Linked DNA regions of Drosophila melanogaster. The protein of the gene in region 4 interacts with the protein of the main gene of each other region in a pairwise test. Each region holds a gene or a part of one and is shown on either strand. Other genes may lie near its edges. The genes, in order: CG34166, CG11357, CG3604 and Pex3.

Region 1 (3,195 bases), on a different chromosome or scaffold from region 4:
ATAGCGAAAATTTAAAGGAGCTTACACCTTATCATTAAATACCCTACCAAATACAATCATTTAAAATACTTATTATAACCATTTAAGGTACACATATTTTTACTTAGGACCTCACCTCAAACGTATATGCATGTTTTTTTATATTTCTAAATAGATCGTAAAAATGGTCGTACTCGAAATTTTGTTGAGAGTAATTACATTTCCCTATCATCAGTATTCACTAGAAGTTGATATTTGCAGCCTTGCAATGTTTCTTCAAGAGAATTTGCTGATGCATCGATGAATTCCCAGACCTAATTGAATGACAGAGAACACTGCTCTTATTGAACATGAGAAGGTTCTCGTTCGATCTGTCCACGTTCGTCCGCCTGCCTGTCCGTCCGTCGAGATTAGAGGAACTATAAAAGCTAAAAAGTTGAGCTTAGGCATACAGATTCCAGGGGCATAGACGCAGCGCACGTTTGTTATTTGTTGTAGACACGCCCACAAACTGCCAAAAATTTCGTGGCTATATAACAAATACAATAATATAATATATTATAATATAATAATATAATATAATAGGAAACGAAAAACTCCGCTGCTTGTGTAAAATTTTAACAACTCTAACTGTTGCTTTACTAAACTTACAAGAATTTACGTGAAAGAAGAAAATACATCGGCTTTTTAGCTATTGTAAATAGTAATTTCTGTACATTTTGTGTTGCGACATTAAAAACTTAACTAATTTAAGGGTTTTTAAATTTGGAAAATATTATTTTATTAAGGCTGTATTTTAGTAACGTCCACCGTGTCCGAATCCTTGCTGGCCATGTCCTCCTTGTCCGCCGAATCCTTGCTGGCCGTGTCCACCCTGTCCGAATCCTTGCTGGCCGTGTCCACCCTGTCCGAATCCTTGTTGGCCATTTCCACCTTGTCCGAATCCTTGCTGACCACGTCCACCCTGGCCGTGTCCACCCTGTTGTCCATAGCCAGCGGCAAAGACCACAGCGATCAAGGCGAAGAAAACAATCTAAAAGAAGAGAAATAAAACAATGTTTAATTCCGAGCCCACCAAAATCCTTGAAAGGAATTTGCAGAGCTTACGAAGAATTTCATTTTGGTAGATTGATTGTTTACACTGTCGAAAGCGTTCTAACTAATTCTATGTAAATGGCAGGGCTTTTATAGCAGGTGGAAGCCGAATGGAGCGATTTGCACCAAAACAAAGTAATAAAAACAAAATTTTCTTATTTTTTGCTTATTATTTCCTATCGAAATCTATATACCCCAAGCTGTGATTATTAGATTAAGCGTCTGCGATGAGGTAGCAAAATTCTAGCACTGCATTAACAGAGCTGATTTCTGATCAGGGGTTGAGGACCTTTAGCCTGATCTTTCTTCTTGTTAATTTGTTTTGCTTATTTTGGAGCTGATTAGCTATATACCGATTAAAAGCTTTTCAATTGCCACTAAAAAAAAAGTATAAGAAACGGCGAAGACTTTTTAGCGCTGCATTTAAATTCACAAGCTTAACAGTATTCTTTTAGGCTGAATTTGCTCTCAAAAAAAGTACAATTGGTTTGGAAAATTTTAAATGTTTTTGAATGTAACCAAACACAGCGAAAAAAAATACAAATAATATTTCTTTAAAAAAAAGGATGTAAAGAAATAAACTAGTCTTATTAGTTTAATAAATACAATTTTTTAAGACACATAATTTCTATGTTTTTATAGACGGTACTTGTGGAGTAATTGAGTATACCAAATTCTTTAAAAAGTCTGTGGGAGTTCGAAGAAGGCGTTGCCGAACCTTTACCTATACAGAATATATATATTCTTCACCAGCATCACCAGCGGAGTCTATCTAGCCGTATTCGTTTGGCCATCTGTCTGTAAGCCTGTCTGTATGAACTGAATGAGATTCAGACCTCTAAATAGTTCCAATTCTTTCAGAACCTGTGCCAACAACACTCTAGATTCTTCATTGATTTCATCTAGTCTTGTCTTGTAAATATCTTAGTTCTTCTATTAGCTAAGAAATGGGTATCTGATAATCGAGGAATGCGACTATAGTGGTCTAACCTGTTAAGCGCTAAAATTCAAAGACATAACATAATTATACGTATGTATAAAAAATTAATCCATGATTACAAGGATTTCATACTTAATTATCCCTCCTCATTTCGAAAGTCTAATGATAACCCAGAAAAGCAAACAAGAACATTTGTTGCCGTAACACGTTTGTGATGCGTGAAAACGGAACATAAATGATCTAAAGTAATCTCAAACAACGTCTTCTTCTAAGTCGCCCTTAGTTTTTCTTAGCAACTGTTGCGGACTTATTAGATTAGGCTCGACTTCCCAGATAAGATTGATGTTGAAGGGTTCCCCCCGTTGAGCATAGGCATTGATACAGTGCTCAAATATTAATTTCCCAGACGTCTGGAAATTTTTTTCGTATTTTTGTTGGGTTAATTGTACTTGATTTTGTCAGAACATTGATAATACTTCGGCGCGTGACGACATGATGAGATTGCAGGAGAGTATAAAAGATCGGAGGCGTCCAAAAATTTTATTCACATTAGCAAGACTAACCGAAGTATCAGCACCATGAAGTTTTTGGTACGTTTTACATATACGCTTCAAAGAAAAACCTTTAAGAACTAAGTTGATTTTAATATTGTTACAGATCCTCTTCATTGCCCTATTCGCCGCGGCCGCTGCCCTACCTCAGTTTGGATTCGGCGGTGGATTCGGTGATCAGCAGCAGCAGCAGCAAGGAGGATTTGGAGGTGGATTTGGTGATCAGCAGCAGCAGCAAGGAGGATTTGGCGGTGGATTCGGAGGTGGATTCGGTGATCAGCAGCAGCAGCAGCAAGGAGGATTTGGAGGTGGATTCGGAGGTGGATTCGGTGATCAGCAGCAGCAACAGCAACAAGGCTGGTAAAAACCAATTCATAGCACCGTCTTAACGCAGATACCTCAATAAAAATATGACACCTTTATGATAAAAAAACAATTGGAATTTTTTACTTTATCGTTCTCGAAAATTTATGAGTTTTATGAAAATAAATTTATATTTATTATTCATTTATATTTATTAAATAGTGCCCAGAAATAAATACACTTAACATAAGGGACAACGGGAAATATCTTCTCTTTCAGATGTTCAAATGGTTTTACTTAAAACATTGTAAATATAAATAAAAGCCA
Region 2 (5,011 bases), about 11 Mb from region 4:
ATGCTGGGATCATTATTATTATTATTCATCAGCGATTCAAGGCGTGAATTGTACAGATTATTCGTAAATAATACTAAGGAATCGGATAGACCAGCCACATCACCAGATTGTGTAGAACTATGAGGATTCTACATGAAAGACAAACAATTTAAACAAATTCGAATGTATGTTAATGAAATATGAAGTTTATACCAAAATCGACGAAAGCATCTTTTCACTGGCGCAGAAGTCGAAAACCTCTTCAGGATAAACCAGAAATGGAACTGAATGTATGATGATTTTTCTAAGTTTATTAGTCACACTGGATGCTTTTTTCAACGATTCGGGTGTTATTGGTATATCTTTCTTATTTGGGTGCCATATCTGAGTGGTAGTATACGTTTTTAGCTCAACGCGACCATCGGTTTGCTTGTAAACTCCAAGATACGGGGTGACCATTAGACCTGCGGCAAACCCCGTATGGGTCACAAATCGGTTCCAGGAATCAGACATTGAGTACTGTGACACATATGACATGCAACAGTCAATGTTGCTGGAATGTCCAGTTTCATCTTGTACAAATAAAAAAATATAATACATTTCTCGATTTACTTATAACTATCGAGCTTACCCACGCATCGTCGGCATCGAAACACCGGATACAGGCGCCAGGATCTACTTTCTTCGGCCAGCTTGGGATCATATACATTATTGACAACCATCACAAAAAATAAAGACGTGAGTGACTGCCCTTTGGAGTATTTTCCTGATATGAGAAAGTAGATAACATAATGACGCTTATTTGGAATATATTATTAATTTTACTATAACTATAACTCACTATAACTCCAGATCGCATGAAACATGTTAGAATCGAAATTCAGCAGAGACAGCTTTGCCTTCAATATGTTTTCTTGACCCGACGATATTCTGCAAACCTTGAGCTTTATAATTTGCAATTTTTTCGGATGAATCCTACTTACAGATCCCAGGTTATATCGTTGCCATGGCCCAGGATGTCGGCAAACTTTTGCTGCACTTCTCTGACTGTGGGAACTAAGTTTCCGTCCCCTTTTGGAGCACTCATTTTTGCAAACTTTTATTCCTGCTTATTTCTAGAACTTCTTCTGTTGCACGTAGAAGATGGAAGTTGCAACAAAAGGCGGCTATCGATAGTCAGTGCTGACGAACTGTCACTATCTAAGTAATATGATGTATTTACCAGTCATATTAGGGATATTTGTAATTTAAATAAACATTAAATAAAACACTTATCAAAATGTATATCTCTTAATGTTTATGATCACCCCAATATTGTTTACATTCGACTGTTTGTAAATAATTAGGTTTCATAAAAGGCATTATTACTCAACGAATTAAATATTATTCTAATTTTTGTTATTAAGTAATTAAGTAATTACAAAATTTAGTTGGCTGATAACGATATTAGTGCAATTTAAAAAGTTAAAATCTTAATGTTAAGTTAAAATAGGTTTCCTATCGGTTGAATCAATTATCATTGCGTTTCTTCGTAATTTACAACTTACGAATGGCGACTGAGCCGATGCACTTTAATCGATAGCAATTTTGGCAGATGGATCTTGAAAATCTAGGCAAGCTAGATGAGAAAGCGATAGAAATGGTCACCCCAAATTTTAAACGCGTGTCGATGCTTGAGTTCCATCCCTATCTCCCGCTTTCAGTTAACATTCCAGTGGTGTATATAAAATCTTATGCCTGGGGTTTTTGAAATTTATACTTAAATAATATATATTAATACTGAACATGTTAATATTTTTAAATGTGTTTTGATACAAATATTGTTAAAAACTAGATTTCTTTAACTCTGAATATTCAAAAAGTTTTATGAAGCCAACTCCCCTTAACAGCCCTTCTTTACAACTAACAACAACGCCTCTGTTAAATATAACAGTGAATTTCGCCGCTTTAACAGCAACTGAGAGCGGCTAACAGTGCGAGAGAAATTCGAACGGGGCAGCAACAAAAAAGAAGAAAAAGACTGGTAATAACGCTACGCTTCTCAGTTACTCAGTTCCGAACGGGCAAAAAACAATTTAGCGCCCTCTGAAACGCTCTGTGTTTTATTTTCCACTTAAAATATTAAAAAAGTGCATAAAAATTGCACACGTCGCTGATAACTCGCTCGGTATACTTATTCTCTAAAATACTGTCTTTCAAATCAGTTGGAAAATATGACATGATAATAAGTGAACAATAGCCGCGCCGAGAATTTTTCGACGAGTGACGGCGGTTATTCCGTTTTTTATTCAGTTTTTCTTAAAAAACCCAAGCGCATAAACAATTAAAGTCGGACAACACCATCGTTAAATGAATTAAAAGTGAATAAAAGCGCTGTCAACGCCTTTTTGGGCAGCGAAAAAAGGAAAGAGAAATCCAGGCCCAGCATCCTTCAGCCTGCTTCTTCTTCTTCCTCTTCATCTCCTTTTGCATTTCTTTTCGCCGCGTCTGTATAGGTGTTCGTGTTGGTGTGGTTGTGTGCAAGCTTGAAAATTGTGTTAAGTTAAGTAAATTTATTCCAGCTGCCAACAACAAATTGATGCCAAAAATCTATACAAATTAAGTGCTGCGTGCGCGTGTGTGTTGAATTAGCACTCCCAATTGGTGTCTCTTTCGCTCTAACTCTGTTTTTGAACTGTTACCCAAAGCGATGGGTGTGTGTAAGTGTGCGTGAGTGCTTCACATGGAAATTAATTAAAAACGCACATTTGTTGCCATTTCCCTCGCTCTCCCGCAAGGATTCGACTGACTGGCTAATGAGGAAGCAGCCAGGCGAACAACCAGCAGGTGACTATTAATACATAAAAAAAAGCATAAAATGTATGAAATTAATTATGCGAGTGCTTGGATACTATCTCTCCAGATTTCGAGGGGTTTTGTCTTTTACTTTTGCTTATCAGCATCCATTGAACAGTATCCTATTGTTGTCATTGTTGCTGCGGGGAGGGACACTTGCTCTCTCGCTCACTCTCTTTCATGTGTGGGTAGCGTTTTTTTTTTTTGTTTTTTATATACGCATCTATCTCTTCTTTCGCTCTTTTCTTCGCCTTTAAGAGGCGTTGTTGTTGTGTGCTCTTCTTTTGTGCTTTTTTCCAACATGAATTTTCTTCGCTTTTTGTTAGCACGTCGCTGTCGCTGAGGACTGACCTTGAACAAGTTCAGGCACAGTGGCACGCATGCCTGTTTGTTGTCCTCCGTTTTGGCTCGTCTGCTCCTTTTCGCCTTTTTCAACTCGTTGTCCTTGGCCTGTCCCACTGTGCCGCCTCGCTCCGTCTCCCTCTTCCTATCTTTCTGTGCGCCTCGCTCCCGTCTGAATGTTTGCCCAAGACTGCGAGAGTGTTTACCTCATCACTTAGGTACAGTGGAAATCTCACTAGTTCCGATACACCGCTTATCAATAAAAAATAACCCATTTCTATATCAATTTTTCCTGATATCAATCAAGTCATATGTATTCAACTTATTACATATTCAATAGATTTGTTATCTGAAGAAGAAGTCGCTAAGAAGACCGTGTTCGAGTCCCACTAAGATAGCACCATATCTCTAAGGGCGATATTTTGGATCTAAATCGATTTTTGTGTGATTTTCGCTAATAGACATTTAACACGTGTACTTTAAATTAATGTTTAATTTATTGAGCACTATGGCTTATAAGGAATTACAATCATTCCGTTCAGTTTAAAGTTCATTGTTTGCATTGGCGCTTCAAATTTTCAATCACATGCTCGTTGGCGAAGCTCTGATTTTTAATTGCGCCAGCTTCCGCGAGAAGCTCTCGCTCTCTCTTTTTCCCACATTCATCTCCCCTCGATCGGCCGTCTCTGTCGAATGGGCTTTAACGCTTTTTTCAGTGGCGCAAAATAACGTTGTATACGCTTTGCTTGACTGTTTGTTTGCCTATCAGCTGCTGTCACCGCTTTTCACCCGTTTGCGCCTTCTGGCCCACTGATAACCGGCGGTGCGAGGCGTTAGACGTCGGCGGTGTTACTTTTATTGGTCCGTACAGTGACCCCGAGATTCTCCGCCGACGTAACGTCACGTCAACGTTTTCAGCTTTTTGCTTTCTCTTTTACTCCCCCTTGCCGCGCCGAAATTTTCGACACGTACGAACTGCTATTCATTATTAATACCCGAATTTCGAGCGATTTGCGATCCTAAACAGTACGTTTATGAAATAACATCCTTATGTCTCACAACTTAATCTTTCAACTGTTTTCTACTTCCTTTTGGGTTTCTCCACTCGACTTATTCATGCTTTTCTAAGATATGCGAAAAGTAATCTGCATGTAGCAAGTTTCACAGAATTTTGTGTATAAGCACACCAATCTTAATAATTTTAAGAAAATTGTATTTTGGTCTTTATCAATGTGCTAGTATCAGCTAGAATATAATACTCTAATACTCGAACATAATAATTCATTCCGTTTCATCATGTGATCCCCTCATGTGAGACTTTCAAATTCAATGCTTCAAATAAATATAATGTTTATCAGATAATTGTTTTTTTTTTTTGAAACCAGCGGAACATCGAGAGAATAACACTTATTTCCATTGTGAATTTGTTTAGATAAGGCATACCAAAATACTTTAAAAGTTTATGTTCGTATAATGCAAATTGTTCTTTTATTTTAAACAAATACATACACGTGCCTCTCTTCTCACACACGCATTTGCTGATGTGGATACATTCTATAAATATTGCAAGTATTTGGAATTTCTTGATTGCGCGCGTAAATGGATAGAAACCAGACATCCACGAAATTTGTGCACTGCAGGAGAACTTTAATTTATTACTGGATTTCTTACTTACTGGATCATCGTGTGATTTCTTTAATTTACATGCGAGCGATTCCGAGCGTTGCAAGAACAGCAAAAAATGGCCATGATCATGTTTGTCTAGTTCGTTTTAATTTTTATCAGCAAAAAATTTAATTGAGTGCAAATCGCGAGCCGAACCGAGCAAGTTTCCAGAAATGTGAACTTCCCAAAC
Region 3 (2,809 bases), on a different chromosome or scaffold from region 4:
ACCAGCTAATGCTATGAATAAATACCATATATTGATGAACATCTTTTTCCCGGTAAAACTTTGTTTAGATTGAAGACCTTTCTCGTGAAAGATGTCTTTATAATTCTATAATTCGCAATAACCTGGCTTAAAGTGTGCCTAATTTGAAAAGTCTACAGTTTTCTTTCAAGTGATAGGGTATCGCTTTTTGTTTATTTTATTCGATTCAAGTATATATTATTATGCGAGCACTATGAGTTCGAAAATGCGTTCCAATTATGTGCTATCTGTTTGCTTTGTTGAAATTATTTAATTAATCTCGCCAGCGTTCAACACGGCGTATGCGCAATGCGAGCTTAACTCACACATGGATGAGCAGAGAGTGAGCAAATGATTTAATTTGAACGTAATTGATCGTCTAAGCACAGCATATAGAACTGGAATATGGAACATTCGGAACAGTTCAGTTCACAGTCGTTGCTTTTAACGTTCAGTTATCAGGTTGCAAACACAAAATGCTTCTGCGGATGACCCAGTTTCTCTGCCTTGCGGCACTCGTTTTGCTAAGTCTTATGCAACTTACGCAGGCAGTAGCCACTCCCAATAATAATAATAATAATAATAACAATATTAAACCGAAGGCTGTGGTTCAGGTGCAACCTGGAAATCCATCGGGAAACAAGCCTGCAGTTGCCACAACTACAATCAAACCACAGAGACTGGTACCAGGTATGTTTATTTATAAACTGATCGAAGAACTTTTATGGACCTTTATTAAATCCCTTAATTTGTAGATCCCAAATGCCTGCAGCCCTTGGACGTTGGTCCATGCCGCATGAGCCTAGAAAGGTTCTACTACAACAAGGATTCAAAAGCTTGCGAGACCTTCAAGTACGGAGGATGTCGAGGCAATGACAATCGTTGGGGATTCCGACAAACTTGTGAGGAGGCTTGTATTCCCAAAAAGTGATCCATTGATGGCGGTCACAAAATACGAGATTGTTTTTAAATTGTAAATGCTAGATGAAATTATTTGTTGATGTATTTTTAAAATAATTACTTGAAATGGGTTTTTGCTAATGCGAAATATATACGTTTAATAATTAACTAATTACAAGTAAGCAGTATATCAAATGTTTATCTATAATTGGAATTAAGAAATTAAGTGCATTATTTTCCACCTATATGCGCAATTTTGAAAATTACCTAATGATTAGAATCGCAAACGAGCGATTATTAGGAACATTTCTTAACCAGACAGTTTATTCATTTCTTCTGAAGCTCCAAAGCTTACCCCATTCGTTAGATACACAAAAAACTTCAACCGACAGTTAACCAGTTTATAGGTAATTCAGTTAGATTCCCATTCCGCTCGCTAAACGTGATTTGGCTGACTAAAATTGTCACACCGATACGGAAGCCACTTGGAATATGATTTTATGGCCAGCATTATGATTGACTTGCGTTGGTGCGTTGATCTGCAATTGAAGGTTGGGCCGCGAAAGCTTCTCCGAGAGCTGTCAGTGCCAGGTGATATCGATATGGACGTGGATATAGACGTCAGAGAGGCACCGCCGTGATTTACATGCGGCGACGAATCAGTTGGACAAACAAGCTGGCGCTCCGATAAATGAAGTACACAAAAAGAGGCAAAACGGTGGGCAAAAACCCAGTTGAGTGAGTATAGTAGTACGTGAGTTAATCAGTTCGGACGGATAGTATTTAAGCCGCAATATCCGAGCGAGCCGAAATCATTCGCTCATCATCCACTCAACGGACTCGAAATGTGCTTTAGATATAGCTTCAGTTTCATAGTATTCGCGGCTGTTCTGCTCCTGGCAGCCGGAATTCGTGCAGCTCCCTCGGATGTCGTCGTGGAGAAGGCGGAGGAGCCCGCGGTGGCCAAACCCCTGCCTGATGCCAGTGAGCTCACTGTTCCGGAGGACTGTCATCAGCCCAAGGAAACCGGTCGCTGTTTCGCTCTGTTCTATCGCTACGCCTACAACGTGGATACACAATCCTGCGAGGAGTTCGTTTACGGTGGATGTGCCGGCAACAAGAACAACTTCGAATCCAAGGAGCAGTGCGAACAGGCATGTTTGGTAAAGTCTGCGGTTTCCTCCACGGACTCAACAACCGAACAAAACAGCGAAGTGGCCACAGAAACTAGCACCTCGTCTTAAAAAATTGTAGTTCTTAGTTTGTAATTTATTTGTCATCCAACTTCATCAGCCTTTTAAAAGCATTTCTTTACTGAGTTGATTATTTGAATAATTTGATTATAAATTTTAATAAATATACCATTGTGATTTATATATCTATTTCGTTTTATTCGCACATCTGGTACTAGCAGTACAGTATGTAGATACATTTGTAAGTGTCAGAAGTGGTTAGCAGTACATCTCGGAAAGTCATTAATTTCGAAACCCGACGGACTCACAAAAACTTGAGTCATGAATAGACGATTTTAATTAATCTTGGGAACTAAACAGTGTAAACAGTAATTTTGATAAAATATGACTACTTTTATAATGCACTTATATCGCAAAGATTCTGAAAACGAAATGTATAAATATATTATACAAGCAAAAGAGGAAATAAATGAAATTTGGGAAAAAATCGGACAAACCCACTTCCGAATGACAAATCGCTGCCTAATCGTGTTTACTTTATTCAGAACGTAGTTCCTAGATTTATTTGCTATTCCGGCATTATTTTCAGTACAAACACTAGCACTAGCACATAGTACTCGAAGTCTCGTCTGTTTATATACCAAATTCACGAGCACTCGTTAATGAACCGAAAGTTCATGAGCATATAGATAAGATCC
Region 4 (4,114 bases):
TAATGTACTATTTTTTTTTTAAATATTACGGTTTTTTCGAATACCATAATTTTAAAATATTGTGATATAAATAGTATCGTATTGTATTGTATATAAGTTAACTTGTATTTAACATAAGGCAATTTGTAAAGGCCTTATAATTCTTCTTTTTAATTCATTTTTTTTATTAAATTTTATTTTAAATAACTTACGTCATTCTCTTTATGTCATTTACCCTTTTTAAAATAAAGACTGGTGTTGTGTAAACGCAAAAAAGACTGTGTAATTATTAATGCAGTTGTATTGCTTCTCTGTTTCATTGTAATAAAAAGTAAATATAAAATATTGTATCTTAAAAAGAATAAAACTCATTTCTTAAACAACTTAACAGCACACATGTAAATAATTCTTAAAAAGACAGATATTGGAAGAATATTTTGCGGAATTCAGGAGTCAAAAGCGACCACCTGTTGAATGCATTGTTCGACTATGCTAAAAAGTATTTCCGAAGTCTTAACACTACTAAATGGCCTATCTACAGGAGGTACATGGACAAACAGGCTTCGTTTTCTGTCCATATCGAGCGATTTCAGATAGATATAGCCGCAGAGAAAGTCACCCACATTTTTGGATGCCTTTGTGGCGCTCAGGGATTTGAGATTATCATTATGTGTCGGCTGTTGTGTGGGTCCCACACAATCGGCGCAATTCTCATTTACAACCGCCACAATCTTATCCACATCTAATTCGGTCTTCAAGACATTTGCATGTCCATTGTTGGGTAGTTCGCAAGTGCCGTTGGCCAGTTTTTTATCACAATTATCAGCTCGGCGGAACTTGTGATTGTACGCCAGCTTCTCGATGTATACACACTTGGCAACGCCCGAAACACCGACATGGATAACAAGCTGTTTTTTTTTTGTTTTTTATTTTTTTGGGAGAAAGATGATATCATAAGGCCTCTATCTATTTATGGTTCAATTGCGATGCTTACATATGGCTGGCGTTTCCAAATCTCCGCCACCGCCTCGTCCACAGCCCCGTATTCCACCGAAACCAACCGCTTTTCCAGATCATATTCTATGCCATCGTGAGTTAGGATTTCCGGCAGCAGTTTCACAGCTTCCCAGCTGGCGTTGACCGCTTCGTGACCGAGAAATGGACCAAATCCGGAGACTACAATGAGCTTTCGATCTGACGACGCCATAACAAACACCCCAACTAAACTAAACCCCCCACCAACAACAGAACTATCTTAAATACCATATGATTTCTATCTTCTTCTTCACCCTTTGAATCATGCGTTTCAAATGTTTGCGACGATGGCGGAACGGTGGAAATTGGAGCATATCGAAGTTTTTTATTTTTCGTCATTTATAGGTGAATTAACATTATTTTATATTTTCTATTTTTTTTTGAACCCACTTCGAAATAACGAAAAAATAAATAACTAAAAAGCATCCCCATTTTCAATAAAAATTTAAACAGTAACACCAAATATACTAAACGAAATGGTATTTTTCGGTATTCCCGAACCTCGCACTTTTGGGATTTTTCTTGAACGGAAACAGACGACGCAGTATGCGGCACCAAACAGAGAAATAACACATTTAGCGACAACAACAAAGGATAAATCCATTCCATACATTCCAGAGCTAGATCCGATCCAAAGGCCAGCAATCGACCCGATAAGGCGGCGCACCAGATCCGAGTTTCCGAGCAGGGGTATATAGGTGAGCACTACCTGGTAATCTAATCGCTGCGGATGAGTGGAGGACGCTCCTCTGTTGGCAGCGACGCCGGCAGCGCACCACCCTACGCACACAGGTGAACTTTGCACATTAACTATTTATTAACCTCGAACAGGTCGCCGGTGGAGCGGGAAAAAGTGGGATATCTGAACAGCAGTTGGCCTATTTCACACAGGAAGCGGATTCTAGTTGTCCATCCGGCAGAAGAGGCCTTTTCCAATCGTTAACATGCTGTCGCGCCTGCAGGACTTCTTGTCACGCCACCGGCGAAAGTTCATAGTGACCGGCGTTCTGGTGGGCGGTACCATCTTTGCGGCACGTTATGCACAACGGCGATTCGTGGAGTTCCAGGAGAAACAGGCCAGGGAATTCTTCGAGAGAACGCGGCGCACGACCCACTTTGAGTCGACGGAGAAGACGTGTAACCAGGTGATCCTAGGCATGGGCGAGGAGATGTGCCAAGCGGTTCTGAGGGAGTGCAGCACGGACGAGCTGCTCGAGCAGCTGCGCCAGAATCCCAAGAACAAGTTGGAACTTTGGGAGGACATGAAAATTGTGGCATTCACAAGACTGGCAACCTATGTCTACGCCTCCTCCATGCTGGTTATTGCGTTGAGGGTCCAGCTAAATCTTCTCGGTGGCTACATCTATCGGGACATCATGACGGAACAAAAACAAGTCACCGACGAGCTAAAGCAGCAGTATCTCTCCCTCATCCGACACTTTATCACGGATTCGGGCATCCGGGACTTAGCCCGTTACATTCGCACCCAGGTCATCGCAGTCACCAAGACCATACCGCTCTCCGAACAGCTTTCCCTTAGCGACCTGGAGCAACTGTTTTGGTCACTGCAAATGGCCATCAATGCGGACACTCGTCGGGATCCCAACTCGCGAATGAGCAAGTATCTGCTGCCCAGCCAGAATCCCAGTCATTCGCCGCTGCTGCAAAAGATGGTCAACGAGACGCTGGATCTGTTGGAGAGCGAGGATGCCGTTGGCGTGTGCTCGCACAATGTAAGCCGTGGTTTTGTGCTGGCCTGCGATGCCATCGCCGAAAGCATGGGCGAAACTTTGCAGCATCTGCCACAAGCTAAAGTCCAAACGCAGCAAGAACAGAGCGTCAAGTTTAACCAGGCAGGAAGCTTAGGCGCCAGCACCTCGAAGAGCCAAAACGGTCTGGAGAACAATAACTTGCTGAACATCAACCGAGTGCTGTTGGCGTTGGCAAAGCTCATTCCTATCATCAGTGGTCTCACCTCGAGAGGCTTCGATACCACTTCGCGACCCCACAATCTGCCCACCCAACTGCTAACCTTCTACGTGGTCGCCGAGAAGACAAAGACGCTGGGGGCCAACGTCTACGAAAGCTTTAGCTCCGCTTAGAGGATCAACAAAACTTGGATTATGCATCCGTGCATAGGCTAGGCTAAGACAATTGGAAAATTATAGTTTATATACTTGTATATTTTTAATAAGATCTGTATTCTCAGAAGCATTGTTTGTATGTCTGCTTGAACCCAACCCGTATTAGGTTTAGCTTCGTCCACGGGGAATCCTTTCAGGGCAGGGACACAAATCGAGTAACGTGAAGGCCTTTTAATCTAAATGGAAAGTTAGGAAATGCAACATATGAGAGAATCATATAGGATGGACCTGAGGGTAGTTTAGTATCCAAACTATATGAAAATGTAATTTAAAGTGTAATTGATTAATAGAATGATAAGTGACAGATTATTTATTTATACCATGCTAGAAAGCTTGGGTCTTAATCTTAAAGGAAGTGTAAACAAATGGCAACCTAATAAACTATGCATTCCCCGTATTTAAAGACTATTATTTTGCATATTAAAGTTTTTGAAGGAACTTATTCTTTTTATTCTTACAGCTAATTAAAACAGATATTGATTTATAGAATGATAAATTATACATGCGTACATAGGTGCATACTTGTATTGAATTAATAAGAAATAAATTCAATAATTATGTCGGAGATATACGAGATTCTTATATACTTTTTCCTCCAAGTTTCTAACAGTTTGCGGTTTTAAATGTACATAATATATTAATTTAGTAACGGAGCAACGGTTATCTGATAATCGGGGAACTCGACTATAGCATTCTCTCTTGTTATAAATGCTTAATATGTATAAAAATATAAGAATTGAATTATCGAAGACACAACCCACAAGTAACGGTTGTCTTTGCTATCAGTCAAAAGGGGGTGGCAGAAAACCGCCCTGTGATAAGACAGCTGTGTCTGTGGCTTTTGTTTGTTTGCCATTTCTCTTGTTCTTGCCGCTCTCTCCCTTGTTCACTCTCTTCAAGCACTTGCGCAGAAATGCCGCATGTGCGAAGATTCATTATAATATAACAATTATGAA

The links.
Region 1: the proteins of Pex3 (region 4) and CG34166 interact in a two-hybrid assay, tested with the Drosophila melanogaster proteins (one large-scale study listed by BioGRID).
Region 2: the proteins of Pex3 (region 4) and CG11357 interact in a two-hybrid assay, tested with the Drosophila melanogaster proteins (one large-scale study listed by BioGRID).
Region 3: the proteins of Pex3 (region 4) and CG3604 interact in a two-hybrid assay, tested with the Drosophila melanogaster proteins (one large-scale study listed by BioGRID).

What each region holds. Positions count from the first base shown.
Region 1 is NT_033779.5:14,741,199-14,744,393, reverse strand, and holds CG34166 (uncharacterized protein), read right to left. Parts: upstream 1,202-3,195; 5' UTR 1,099-1,201; coding exon 1,087-1,098; intron 1,013-1,086; coding exon 776-1,012; 3' UTR 515-775; downstream 1-514. Other genes in the region: CG42586 (uncharacterized protein), read left to right, coding at 2,593-2,604, 2,672-2,929.
Region 2 is NT_037436.4:4,540,103-4,545,113, forward strand, and holds the start of CG11357 (uncharacterized protein), read left to right. Parts: upstream 1-1,948; 5' UTR 1,949-2,002; intron 2,003-2,017; exon of another isoform or gene 2,018-2,540; 5' UTR 2,541-2,805; intron 2,806-5,011. Other genes in the region: CG32243 (uncharacterized protein), read right to left, coding at 1-128, 193-551, 611-745, 821-909, 963-1,066.
Region 3 is NT_033779.5:3,696,726-3,699,534, reverse strand, and holds CG3604 (uncharacterized protein), read left to right. Parts: upstream 1-1,662; 5' UTR 1,663-1,763; coding exon 1,764-2,162; 3' UTR 2,163-2,293; downstream 2,294-2,809. Other genes in the region: CG42464 (uncharacterized protein), read right to left, coding at 1-42; CG10031 (uncharacterized protein), read left to right, coding at 495-708, 774-949.
Region 4 is NT_037436.4:15,142,824-15,146,937, forward strand, and holds Pex3 (peroxin 3), read left to right. Parts: upstream 1-1,531; 5' UTR 1,532-1,726; intron 1,727-1,845; 5' UTR 1,846-1,958; coding exon 1,959-3,116; 3' UTR 3,117-3,556; downstream 3,557-4,114. Other genes in the region: CG32147 (uncharacterized protein), read right to left, coding at 426-887, 974-1,186.